2 linked regions of the Drosophila melanogaster genome follow. The gene in region 1 interacts genetically with each later gene. Each region holds a gene or a part of one and is shown in the gene's direction. Other genes may lie near its edges.

Region 1 (8,216 bases):
TAAAGTAATTTCTCCCACCTTGGCCTCCTTCTCACTGCTGTCGCTCTCTGTGCGCATTTCTGCCGGGACCGTGTCCTCGAAATCCATGATTGATGATGGTTCATTATTAAATTGTGTTGCCTGAAGAATTAAAGGAAACTGCATCATTAAAATTATAAATGCAAATTTCAGCTTTGAAATAAAAACGGGCACACAGTATAAAACTAAGCTAATTTGCACAGCTTTAACTTTTGACCAAAAATATAGCATACATCATTTTTTTACTTTAAAGTATAGTTCATAACGCTAAACAAGGTTGTAATAATTTAAGGCCTCAGCAAAATGCATCTGAGTATTGCTCCCACCTCAACGTCCGTCGCCGATGCAGGGTCGGTGCTGTGACGGCTCTGCGCATGCTCCGAATTCAGAAAGCTCGGGGAGTGCACCATCTCGAGGATTGCCTCTACGGGAGTTTCGGGATCCCCTTCGTCGTGCTCCTCCTGTCCCTTGGGTCTTGACCTACGACCTCTGAGCGGAACGGGCACTCCGGGAGTGATGTGCTTTTGCAGGAACTTCAGCTCGCTGTTAAGATAGTACGTATTCGCACCGTGATGCAACTTTATTGAGCGGGCATAGCTGGAGCGAATGTTGCGCCAACGTTCCTTGCAGCTTTTAACTGAAATGATCAATAGCAGTCAATAAGATTGTAAGATAATATTATATAATATTTATATAATATAAATTGTAAGATTTTATAAGAGATTATATTTTATTTTATATTATGTATCGACATAGTAAAATCGTGCTTATAAAAATATAAACATCTCCTAATGAAATGTAAATTTAATAATTAAAGTAAATTTAGTTAATATGCAATATGTCGAAATATAGATAAAAACCCACCCGAATTTCGCATCTCATTGGATATTTCCTTCCACGCATTTTTCACAGTCGATTTCCGCAAGTAGTTGTCATCGTGACGATCGTAAAGACAAGGATGTAGTTTCACCAAATGACATATTTTGGCATTGATGGCGTAAACGTTCGGTGGTGGAGCTATGGACCGACGGCGTGTATTCATTTCATATATAAAAACTAAATATGCAAATTTAATTAATTAATATAATTAATAGAGTTAAAGTAGAAGACCCGAAATCGAATCTGAAACATGTGTCGCCTGACCGTGCAACAGCTGTTTGCCGCTACTTTGCTTCTCTGCTCCGCTTTCAACAACAGTTATTTTCTCTGAAACCAGATCTTTCGTTTAAACTTACGTGAATTAGGTTTAAAAATGCTCCAATTAATCGATGTCAGTGCTTTTATCACGAGTTTTGGCTTATTAAGTTCGGGCTCAAGCCGCTCGTTGCTTCCGTGCACGCGGCAGTTGTTGGCGTGGACGCCGGAGTTGCTGCTATTACAAGTGTTTAGCAACTTTGAACACTGCGATTTCGTGCTGCTGCCAACAAGTGATGCAGTTGTAAATGAATGTTGCAATTTCAAATAGCAATTGTTCTTGATTTTAAAGCACATGAGCACTAGACTGATTCGAATTGGACATTTGAATCTTTAACGGGCGGAGAATATAAAACACCGGCAAAATAAATAAAGAAAGGAGCCACAACAAACGGAAAGCCAGAGGCGTAGTCATTCTCTTCGCAAATCAGCGGGGGTTACCATTCGAGCAGCATACAACCCTCTCTGAGAGAGAATTGACATGCCACTGGATCTCACACATACAATGAAAGGCACACTCACTCAAAGTAGACAGCACTGCCAGACTTAATGCAATAGTATAGCAGTTGGTGTTGGCAGTGCCATTTGATCGCTGGAGGTGCTGCCAACGCATTTACCAATTAATTAATGACCACCCCTAAATGTTGTAAATTATAAAAATTATTCAAGAATATTACGATTTTGGTTAAATTAATGTACAAAATAAAATATTTCATATTTGTATTGGCTGTCAAATGAAGTTATTTTATTTTAAGATAAATGCTAACAAATCTTAGAGAAACTGGAAAACAAGGTTGAGCGGTTTTGAGAATTATGAACAACGCGTAAAAAACATTATTTATAAACGTAAAAAAATATTATAGTCTAGCCCGACAGGTAAAAAATAAATTTATCCGGGGCCACCTTGGTCAACCCTCGTCAACGACCGTTCGGCCTGCCAACTCGCTTTTCCCTGCAACGCAAGGCGCCGCTCTCTGCTCACACTCTCACTTGGCTGTGTGTGTGTGCTCAATACTCGCTTTTAGTTTTCGCTGCAGTCGGTCGCCGTTTTTAGTCTCAGCTGCTGCGCGCGTGTGTTGTGATTGTGTGAATTGCGTTTGCGTTTGTAGCATAACACAAAACCGATAAATTCCTGGCGAAGCGAGCTCTCTCGATTGGATTCTTGCAAAGTGAACTAGCGATGAGCGCCGCCTCTGAGGTGAACCTGATGTTGCTGCGGTCAGTGGAGAAGCAGACTGCGCTTTATGATCGTACCGACGAAAACTATAGGAAGCGCCTGCCGAGTGAGAACGCCTGGGACATGGTTGCCTCCGAAGTTGGAGAGTCGGGTGAGTCGTGAGTGCGAGCGGGATAGCAATCGACGTTGCGTAGTTTTCTGCCAGTGCTGCACAGCGTCAACGCGCGCACAACAGTCAGTCGTCCCCGAATTATCGGCCGTCGATAGTTGTGTGCGAGTTGGCAGCGCCATGTATGCCATCACAAAGCAGCTGGCATCGATTAATTCGAATATAACGAGTCTCCTGTTGAATGCGTAGTCGTTTGGGATGAAATTGCTTCTTGCTGTGACATAATTTTTGTAAATAGCTGGAAAGTAATTTATATTAGTTATTTGGCAACTGCAATAATTGCATGGTAAAAACTAAACAAAGTTATTTCGTTTGTTGTTATTATTATTTTTTTAATTTAACATTTTATAATTTATAATTCTCCAACAAGCTTGTTATTTCATATTAAAAAAATGTCTTATTTGAATATTACATTATTTTAGAAGGATTTAAAAATAAATAAATTAAATACAGAAAAACCAAAATATGACAAATAATAATATCTAGTCTATTCAGTAGCCAAATCCATTTCATTTAATTCTTATTAGCTTTATAAATTTTTTTTAAATGATTTGAATCCTTCTGCACGTTTTGGTAACACTGGTAACACTAATCGCCCATTAGCTGAGTAAAATTTAACCTTAGAAAATTGGTATATTGTATTATATTGGTATATTATGAGTGGGTAGTTCCATTTATCCATGCATCTCTGATTTTGTTGTCGGTGTATATCGATTGACCCATATATATTTCCCTGGAAAGATCTTTTGGCCAAACTTTTCGAGCAGTACAATATAAGTTGGCTCTTTTTCATTTGAGAACTGAAAAAATATTGCCAATGATGGGGGACTTCTTATTCGAGAATTCTTGCTGTAAGTTTTATTTATATATCGCAAAAGAAAGAAAAATCCTTTTTAGTGTACATATGTACATACACACGTGCATGTACATATTTAAGTATGATTCTCAATTTGATTGCGATTATTTCCACGTGGTTTCTGACACCTTTTACTAAACTTTACACGATTCCTTAACACAACTATTTTTTAAGTAATGTGTTTGGATATCAGATAAAGGGTGTTTCAGCAATGTCTACAGGTTTTGTTAACTAACAAATTAAAACGTATCTTAGAAGTTTGGGCGTCGGAAACCTGCACGCCTTATAAATATGTATGATATGTACATCCATGTACGTTCCCATGTATGTATGTCGGAAATCTGCATATATATATATTTATATAAATATATATGGTCATGTATGGTCATGCAGATAAATGGACGCTTCTAATTTGTATACCCCTTACTCGTAGATTTAAAGGGTATACGTTGGAAGGGATTCGTTGCAAAGTATGTATGCAACTGGTATGAAGGTCGATCTCAGGAACTATAGAAACAAAAAGGTTCAAATTAAACATATAGATTAAAGGGACTTAGACGCAGCGAAAGTTTGTTTTTTCATAATTTTTAATTAGTTTTGTAAATTTATATTGACTTTTTGAACAGTTTTTTTAAAATTTTCTCATTTGACTCCCCAATATCTATCTATATGCCATATCTATATGCATTATAAAGCTTCCCACTTCCATTATTCATTCTCTTATTATTTGTTTTTGTGGTGATTTATTGCACTGTAAATTAATTTTTTGCAAAAATGCTTTGTCTTAAAAATATAAAGTAATTTCCTACAATTTTTCTTGTATATGTTATAGCTGATATTATTTTATCACTTTAAAAAATTGTTATGTTTGGCTAGAAAAAAGCTTATTTTTTATGACCCGATTTTTATTTGAACTATCCTTATGCAAGGACAAGAATTGAAATGGCACCGAACACAAAATTTCATGTGTCAGTTTTGTCAGATTTTGGCCGCGGTAATTGAAAATAACCTTCCGCAGCGTAGTTAGTTACATACTGTTACAAACCATATTAATCGGCGAGTATAAAGGCAGATAACTAAGAAGCAGTTTTGGCACGTAGAAGCTAAGAATTTCTTGTCTATTACTCCAAATCAATTTTGCCACTTCCTCCAATGGAAAGAGCCATACGAATTTGATCAATTAAAAAATAATATGGAAATATCTAATACCGAAGACCATATTTAGACCATTAAGACCATTAATTAGCTAATCATTTTCCGACTGTTGGTATTGAAAATATAGTTTTTCGATTTTAATAAATGTAATCCAAAATTTATATATATTTCCAAGATCTAGTGTATTCTTATTAAAAACAAGTAATGTGCCATCCGGGTTGTAGGACCCGTGATTCAGGGTTCGCGGTGCGTACTGGATGCCCCGATTTTGTGACTAGCAGTTACACACTGCAGTGCTTTTATTTTTATTTTTAAAAATTTACATACATGTATAGCTTAATTATTAAATACTGCTACCTTCAGGCAGCTAAAAAATTATATATAAACTGCAGTGCATGTACTCGCCACCGAATACTCATTTATACTCATTTAGATATTCATACATAGCATACTTTCAAGCGAAACTTGCATTTACGGAACCATGTACAATGTTGGTTTTTTGAAATTAAAAATAATTTAACTAGTGTCTCTTCCCATTATTAATAAGCATTCCTGAGCTCTTATTACCTGTTCATGTAAAATGCACACAAAGTTTTATGAGCTAAGATTAAAGTGGAATTTTCCGGGCAATCAGGGGGTGTTATGCTATTGAGAAGTAAAGGTTGGGCCGCTACCTGTTGCCTGATATATATTACGTATCATATCTTCTTACCTAGCCTTATCATTTCCCTCTTGTTCCCTCTTGCAGTGGAAAAATGCAAGCGACGCTGGCGTCAGCTGCGAAATGACTATACCCGCTGGTGCAACGCCGACGCCAACCGGCGACGAAATGGCCAGCGTCGTTTGGCTTATCCGCTGGCCGATGAGCTGCGCTTTTTGGACCGCCATCTAAACATAGCTGACGACATGGCTGCCGACGATGACCGCAGCGTATCATCGGACAAGGACAGGGATAACAATAGAGACAGCGAGGGCGTGGATCATCATGCTCAGGCGTCATTAAAAGAACGCGCATCATCGACAAGCAAGTTAGTTAAGGAGGTCAAGCTGGCAAGTCAAGTTCGTAAGGAAAAATCGTCCCAAGACAAGAGAGAAAATTGGGAAAATCCTGGAGATAAACAGCGATCTAGGAAGAAAAGTGCTGAAGAGAAGCTGAATGATTTGGAGGAATCGGACGAACCAGAGAAGGTTCCTGAACTCGATAGTTTTCTGCAGTCTGATAATGAAGACGACGAGTGCATGGACGAGGAGCACCTAGAAGATCTGGAAGGTTTCGATTTTGACTTGGAACAATCGAATCAGGAAAAGGAGTTAACGCCGGAGAAGTCTCTAGAGAAGAATAACACCGACTCAACTGTTAGCCAGCCGGAGTTCTTTGTCAAGCAAACCAGAGATCCTCGTTTGCTAATTATTGGCAGAAAGAATTCGACGTCTTCGTTTGCTGAATCCAAGGCTTCAAAATCTATTTCCGGGGATCCTCTGGAAACGGCTATGGAAGATAGTGGCGATGAATATGGTAGGGATGGTGAAAAACGCGTCACAGGCAGCGACACTACTTCTCCAACCCGACGTCCACGTCGCGCAGCCCGTGCATCAATAAGTTTCGCTGGCATAAGGGATTTACCGATCCAGAAACCAGGCCAAGCACAACGAATGACGCGATTGCAGCGCAGGAAATCTATGAGTTTAGCGGCTGTACACAGTGTAAGGAGCTCCACATCGCCTGTGAAAATGACTCCAGTCCCCAGGTCTCAGCCGATCAACAAGCCGCCATCCGGGCCAGTCCAGATCACGAAAATCAGTCATCGGGATGACATCTTCCCGAGACCTGCGGTGCCATCTGGAGTTGTGAATATAAATCAAAACCAACTCAAGACTCAACAACAGCAGAAGACGCTGATCTTTCCGACGACCGATGAAGCGATCGCTAACCCGCAGGGATCTGGTCCACCACAAAGGAGGTCCGTGGGTAGGCCGCCCAAGAAGCTACCTATGGTGCAGCGAATAGTTGCGCCGGAAACGCAGACCAAGCCACAGTCGCCCATAAACACCAAAGTCCTGACCATTGGCAAGCCCACCAGCTCCGTCGCGAGTGGTAACATAAATAATATTGCTATCAAAAGCAACGTCGTTACTAGCATAAGCAGCAGCACCGCTACTACTAATACCATTACCAAAGGTACCAGTAACAACAGCATCAAAACTACTGAAAACGTTAATGTAATAAGCTACAGTCCGAATTCATCTAGCACCAGCAGCAGCAGCAAGGCCACCACTGGTGCCTCTGGTGCGGTGATAACTAATATACCCACAACCACCACAGCTGGAACATCCGTTCCGGTCGGAAAGAGTATAACCCAATTGAAAATGACTGAGCGAGGCACTCAAACCGGAGTCCAGAATCCTTTCTCCGATAATTACTTTCTCGAAATGATCAAGCCCCAGATGCAGGAAATGAACCCCCGTCAGAAGATGCACTTTAAGAAGAAAGTATTCCAAGCGCTGATGGAAACCTTTGATGATGCTACCGATTTCCCAACGTCTAAAGAACTGCAGCATTTTAATATAAACACTCCTTCAGGATTTGAGCACATTACAGATCCGGAACTTCGATTGGTCAGGGAGCTAGTCAGCATGGTGAGCGCGGCTAAGGTTACCCTAATTAGACCGCCAGGAGAAGCTACAGCTATAGCTACAGCTTCCCGCAGTGGAATTGCTCCTGAGGTACAGCGAGGACCCCGAACAAATATGACACGCCAAGTCATTCAGAGGGTATACAAGCCAGGCACTGGACAAGAGATCGCCCCCACCAGCCCGGCGGGTGGACTAGATAAGAGGTTGTTCAGGTTAGCGGCTATGGGTGGTAAACCGAATGGCAACTTGAGTGCCACTCAGGAAATTTTGCGCAAGGATAGTGTTGACAGTAACCATAGTGTGGTCAAGGTGGCCAACCACGCCCCAACAGGCAGTCCCAAAGGAGCTGCTGTAGTGGCTGCTATAAGGCCGCAGGGTTCATTGATCAACAGTTTCTTTGGACAAGGCAATGGACCGACGACGGCCAAGGGAGCTGCCTCCGAGAATATCCGCGCCATGTCCAGGAGGTATTCCGTGTGCGGTAGCAGCAATCCACCCAATGCCCAAAACGCTAGCCAAGGTTCCGCCAATGGCAGCACCATAAACTCCAATGCTAGCGCTATGGAAGCGTCTATGCTTAAGCGGCGATTGATAGCAGCTGGGCATGGAATGGTGCCACCTACCCAACGCCCTCGGTATTCTGCCGTAGGTGCTAGTCAAATGACCACTGCATCGCAAGGCAGCAGTTTACTAGTGAGGAAGTCTGTGGGCTGCGTTCCTGCTTACCAAAAGCAAATCTCACCCACTGGCGGTGCCTCCCTGCTTCAGAAAACTCCGCAGATTGCCAGTGTGCAAGGATCTGCCTTCAATGACTTTGCCCAGCCCAAGCCCGCTGCAACGGCCTCTGTAAACGGCGAAGAAAGTTCGCCTACCTCGGCGCTGAAGCGCAGCTTGGTGGTGGCTAATACCAAAACCTCCTTTCAGGACCTTCTTCAGCAGGCCAGTCAGACGGTGCAGAGAAATAAAATTGAATCCTCGGAGACAGCAGCCACTATTGCTGCGGATGATTTTTC
Region 2 (5,026 bases), on another chromosome or scaffold:
GTGTCCAAAGAGGAAACAACAAAGCCCCGTAGTCGCCCAGCGAAAAATATTGATGACGATGCAGATGATGCTGATTCCGCCGATCAGGGCCAACACAACTCCAAGAAGGAGTCGAACGACGAGGACCGTGCCGTGGATGGGACACCAACCAAAGGAGATGGCCTCAAATGGAACTCCGATGGCGAAAATGATGCCAACGACGGTTATGTTTCGGATAACTACAACGATTCCGAATCGGTAGCTGCCTAAAACATACAATTTATAAACATTTCCACACACCCCTCCCCAAAAATCAACACAAAAAAAAAAGAATGTTGTAAAAGCAAAAAAAAAAAAACGAAAAAAAATCTGCAAGTAAGAGAAGAAAACACAAAAATGGATAGGACCTACTTGGACTTTAGAGAACCTTCCCCTCCTAAAACAACACACTTTGTCTACATATATATTCCGATTTATTGCTGAGAAATCGGACAAACCGTTTACAACTGCACTGCACTGTAATGACGACACATAGCTCGGAAAACGATTTCAACTTGGATTGAAATTACCAAATAAATAACACATAAATAACATATTTGGGGAAGATTTCAAGTTCCGAAGTAGAACTGAACTTTATTGTAACAACAAATTTGATTTGATTGCAGAAATTTCAATCGTATACAAGTTTAAATAAACCTACTATACCTAAAAAAATTTTGTGTAATTTAGTTTTTATATATATCATTTAACATATATTATCTATTGATATAAACCAGATGGAAAAATATGTAAATCCATGGTTGTATTGATTCTTTATATACAGTGTTCACTGTACTTTACATTATATGGTCACTCTGAAGAAAGTGAAGTTATAAACGGTAATTGTTGTAATGCTATTTTAACAACATTAAAACTAGGGCAACTAGTTAAATGCATTATAGAACATAAAAATCAATTAATTTCTCTAATGGGATAGTAAATGAAATTATAACTTACATATAGTAGTATGCTAAATTTTTGGTATCTTAGAACTATTGGAGAGTGTTTCTCAGTGCGCTTCGCAATGGTATATTTGAACGGTCGAGCTGCGGTCACACTAAATGTTCGCGCGTAAGAAGAAGCAGACCTAGAACGGCGTGCTTGTAATATGTAAATTTTTCAAATAAGCTAAGGTGTGAGTACCCAACAGCTATAAAATATGAAAAGTATTTTAAAACTGCCAGCCTTATGCTGATAGTTCGACAGCATTGTTTACATTTCCAATCGGCGGTAAATCACAATCAAATTTGCGGCTGCGAAAAAAGATCACAAATTGATAAAAAAAAAAGCCGCAAACAAAAACAAAACAAACACCCTGGTGCGTGTGTATGTATGCGCGAGTGTTGGTCTGTGAATGTGTGTGCTCAAGTGTGTGTTTGTGTGCGACTGGCGTCTGATCAAATTTGGCATGCCCCTAAAATCGATTGATAAATAATATATAAACAATTTGGCTGGGGCAGCGTAATTCATTTGCCAGGGTGAATATAAAAAAGGGGGTGATGATAAAAGAACAAGAAAATGTGTAATCAATTTATATAAATATTTTGCGCGCATGTTAATAAAAGTAAAATAAATTGTCGGTCTTTTGCGCTCGCACCCCCGCTCTTGCTCTCTCTCGCACTCTGTGGGCATGCTCACTCGTTCTCTCTGTTGATTTCGCACGTTTGCCAACACTGCTCTCATTTTGGGGGGTTCTTGTTCTCTCCTCTCTCTCTAGCTCTTTGTTGTAGTTGTATTTGGCCAGTGTGTCTTTGCATTTCGCTTTTATTATCGTTCTGCGACGGACGGCGGCGACGTTGAAGAAATTCCTGGCCGATTTCTTCTTCATCATCCTGTGTAAATAATTGTAATTTAAATAATCTAAATTTCGTATTTAACGAAAGCACACACACCATCAAATCAATGGAAATGCAAACGAGAAGGCTTTTTTAAGTGCATGTGTAAGTGTTTCAAAAAAGGAAATGAACAAAAAAAAACAGCTAAAAACCGTAAAGTACTCCTGTTTCGTTTTACATTGTCATCATCGGGTTTCCTTTTCCATTTCGGCGGCATGAGTGTATGTGTGCATTTCCAGACCGCTTTTTGTACATATGCAAACATGTATAAATAGTTTGCGAAATTAATTCGTATTTTGCCCGAAAAAGGTAAAAATCAATTAAGTGTGTGCCTGAATAATTTATATGATTCCTTTCTTTTTGTTTGGTTGGTGAACAAATTTTTCCGATTGTGCGTATGTGTGCGAATGTGTGTGTTTCATTATTTCCTTATACCATCGTGTTCTTCCTTTTGAGCGGTGGCCATTTGGCTGCTCTGCTTCTTCCTTCTCCCCGCGTCCCCCCGCCAAACCATTCAGCTCCCTCTTACGTGTGTGTGTGTGCTCTCTCGCTCTTTCTCTCTCTCGGGACGCCTTGCAATTGTATATATGTGCTTTTCCCAATAAGAACGCCTAACTACCAACTAAAATATTAAACAATTCAAATGGTTTTAATTCCTAATTACTTATTGGCCGCACCTCCTTTGTTTTGTCCGCCATCTCTTTTATGGTTTATCTTTATGTTTGTTTTTATATATACCCCCCTCCCCTAGAAGTGTGGGTGTGTGCGAGCTTCCAGGGGCACAGCATTCGCGTTCTCTCTCTTCCTTTTCGCATGCTGCACTTGTCTCTCCTTTTTTGGGGGGCTTCTTGGGAGGCACGAAAGGACCGAAAGGGAGAAATGGAGATATAATTCTCGTAAACAACCCAAAAACAAAAAAAAAAATAATAAAATAAAAGACCGACCCACTCGCATTCTTTTCGCTGAAAACGTAACCTCAAATGTTTGCGGCCGCCTTTCGCCTTCGTCTTCGTTTCGTTTTCTTCGCCATTCGTTCTGTCGCATTCGCTCATCGTCTGCCGGCATCGTTCTTGTTGTTGTTCTTGCTCCTCTGTGTGTATGTTAATTTTATATGTTTTCCATTTTCGACCGCCCCACCACCCCCCGCTATACGTCTTTCCGTGTGCTTTCCGCGGGAGGCGCTATAACAATAATTCTGTTCACAAGTTTTCCAGATATGTATAAATTCTTAGATGTTAAACAAGCCGCTATACGTCTTTCCGTGTGCTTTCCGCGGGAGGCGCTATAACAATAATTCTGTTCACAAGTTTTCCAGATATGTATAAATTCTTAGATGTTAAACAAGCCGATCTACAATGTAACCAGATTTTAAAAAGGGATTTTGTTTCTGTTTTCATTGGATTCCATATTTTGTACAATGGATATTATTATAATCCCAAACTATTATAGAATTTCATGTTAAAAGAGTAAAACAGGATTTGAATAATCAGATCTAAAGATCATTTTCATAATGTTGAAATGCAATGGTCCTAATGGTGATTTATAAAATTTCGTTAAAACCTTTTTGGAACTGCAACATAAACGCCATTGTTATCGTGTGCCAACTTTTTGTTACGGTTGCTAAGCACTTACGAATAGATAAAGTCTGAAAAGTTATGTATTGATAGTCACTGATAAAACTAGCCTGCATCGTAATTTATTAAGAGTATTAATCCAATCGGTCTTCAAAGAAACCAAATTATATTTTCCGTATTTTTCGAGCATGATTCAGCGCTGCGTTGTTCTTCTATGGATAGTCTGCTTCTGCGACTTGTTCTTGGGGCTCCTGTTCCTCAAACGTAAACGCAACGCACACACTCCCCCCCCCCCCCCGCAATTCACCACTTATCGGCATCTACTTTGTTATTGTTTTCGTAATGGGGAAATCATGGCTAATATTTGCCTTAGTCGTCTTTCAGTTTTAGAAGAAATTGTTTTGCTTTTACGCGTGCCTTGTGCGTTTTATTTTGTTGATTATTATTATGTGCCCTGTCTGCTGTCTGTGTTATCGGAATCTTTTCTTTACCATGACCAGCTCAAAGTTTTTAATCGCACAAAAGTACAGTGGTTCGAGTGTCGTATTGAATTGGGAATAAAAACTAGCATCATATAAAAAGTTATTTGATTCGAAATCGATAATTTCTCAACAATTTATTTCCAAAAACTACTGCGTTTACTAATCACAGTTTACACTTTAATTTCTCATTGCAGTTTGTGTATATTTTCATCATTAAAACGTCGTGTAAATTAAAATTCATCCTAATTATAATTAATAAACTACATTAATAAACGGAAATTCCACAATTCTCAACAAGAAATCTGTAAAAATTCAAGTTTTAACCAATTCTCATACGTAATTAAATAAATAAAGTTCAGTTTTGTTAAGTCCCAAAAACAACAGCTGTGCAACTGTGTAAAATATTATTCATAATTTTGTGTAAATTTATGTAAAAAAAAAAAAAAAAACAAACCAACCACGACAACCAAACCAAACGAAGCAAATTCAATTTTTTTGATCAAAAAGTGTGTGAAAAATCTCAGCAAAGCCTGTAAAATAAATATTAAATATATTAAGCAAAAAGTGTGGTTTCTTTTACAACAAAATAAATAAAAGCAAAAAACAAGTGTAAATCTGAAGCGAAAATTAAAAAAAAATTATATGTAACATTTGTGAATATTTCCGAGCGAATAGTGTTGCAAAACGCGCGTGTGGTTCTTTGTGCTGCAAGTTAAAATACAATTCAAGTTGGCAATACGCGCAAAATTGTCAGCTGCGATAGCTAGGAAAAGCCTCCAAAATTGAGCTCCTAACCGCGCCCACAATTGCCATATCGACGCCCTCGCCGCAGCAGCAACACCAACAGCAGCAGCAGCAGCAGCAGCAGCAACTCTATCAGCAACATCAACAGCAGCAGCAGCAACATTACGGTCCACCACCGCCCTACTTTCAACAGCTACACCAGCAACACCAACAGCAGCAGCAACAACAGCAGCAGCAGCAACACCAGCAACACATGAAGTTTTTGGGTGGTAACGATGATCGCAATGGCCGCGGAGGCGTCGGCGTTGGCACGGATGCCATTGTAGGATCTCGAGGTGGCGTCTCTCAGGATGCCGCCGATGCAGCTGGTGCC

Evidence for each region.
Region 2: of stwl (region 1) and pum, changing one suppresses a phenotype caused by changing the other (phenotypic suppression), as found in Drosophila melanogaster (one study listed by BioGRID).

The regions. Positions count from the first base shown.
Region 1 is NT_037436.4:14,403,939-14,412,154, reverse strand, and holds the start of stwl (stonewall), read left to right. Parts: upstream 1-2,215; 5' UTR 2,216-2,392; coding exon 2,393-2,540; intron 2,541-3,308; exon of another isoform or gene 3,309-3,375; coding exon of another isoform or gene 3,376-3,409; intron 3,410-5,317; coding exon 5,318-8,216. Other genes in the region: CG3919 (uncharacterized protein), read right to left, coding at 1-120, 345-655, 883-1,060.
Region 2 is NT_033777.3:9,233,742-9,238,767, reverse strand, and holds the start of pum (pumilio), read left to right. Parts: upstream 1-1,742; 5' UTR 1,743-1,958; intron 1,959-4,103; 5' UTR 4,104-4,906; coding exon 4,907-5,026. Other genes in the region: D1 chromosomal protein, read left to right, coding at 1-249. UniProt on the Drosophila melanogaster protein: Sequence-specific RNA-binding protein that acts as a post-transcriptional repressor by binding the 3'-UTR of mRNA targets.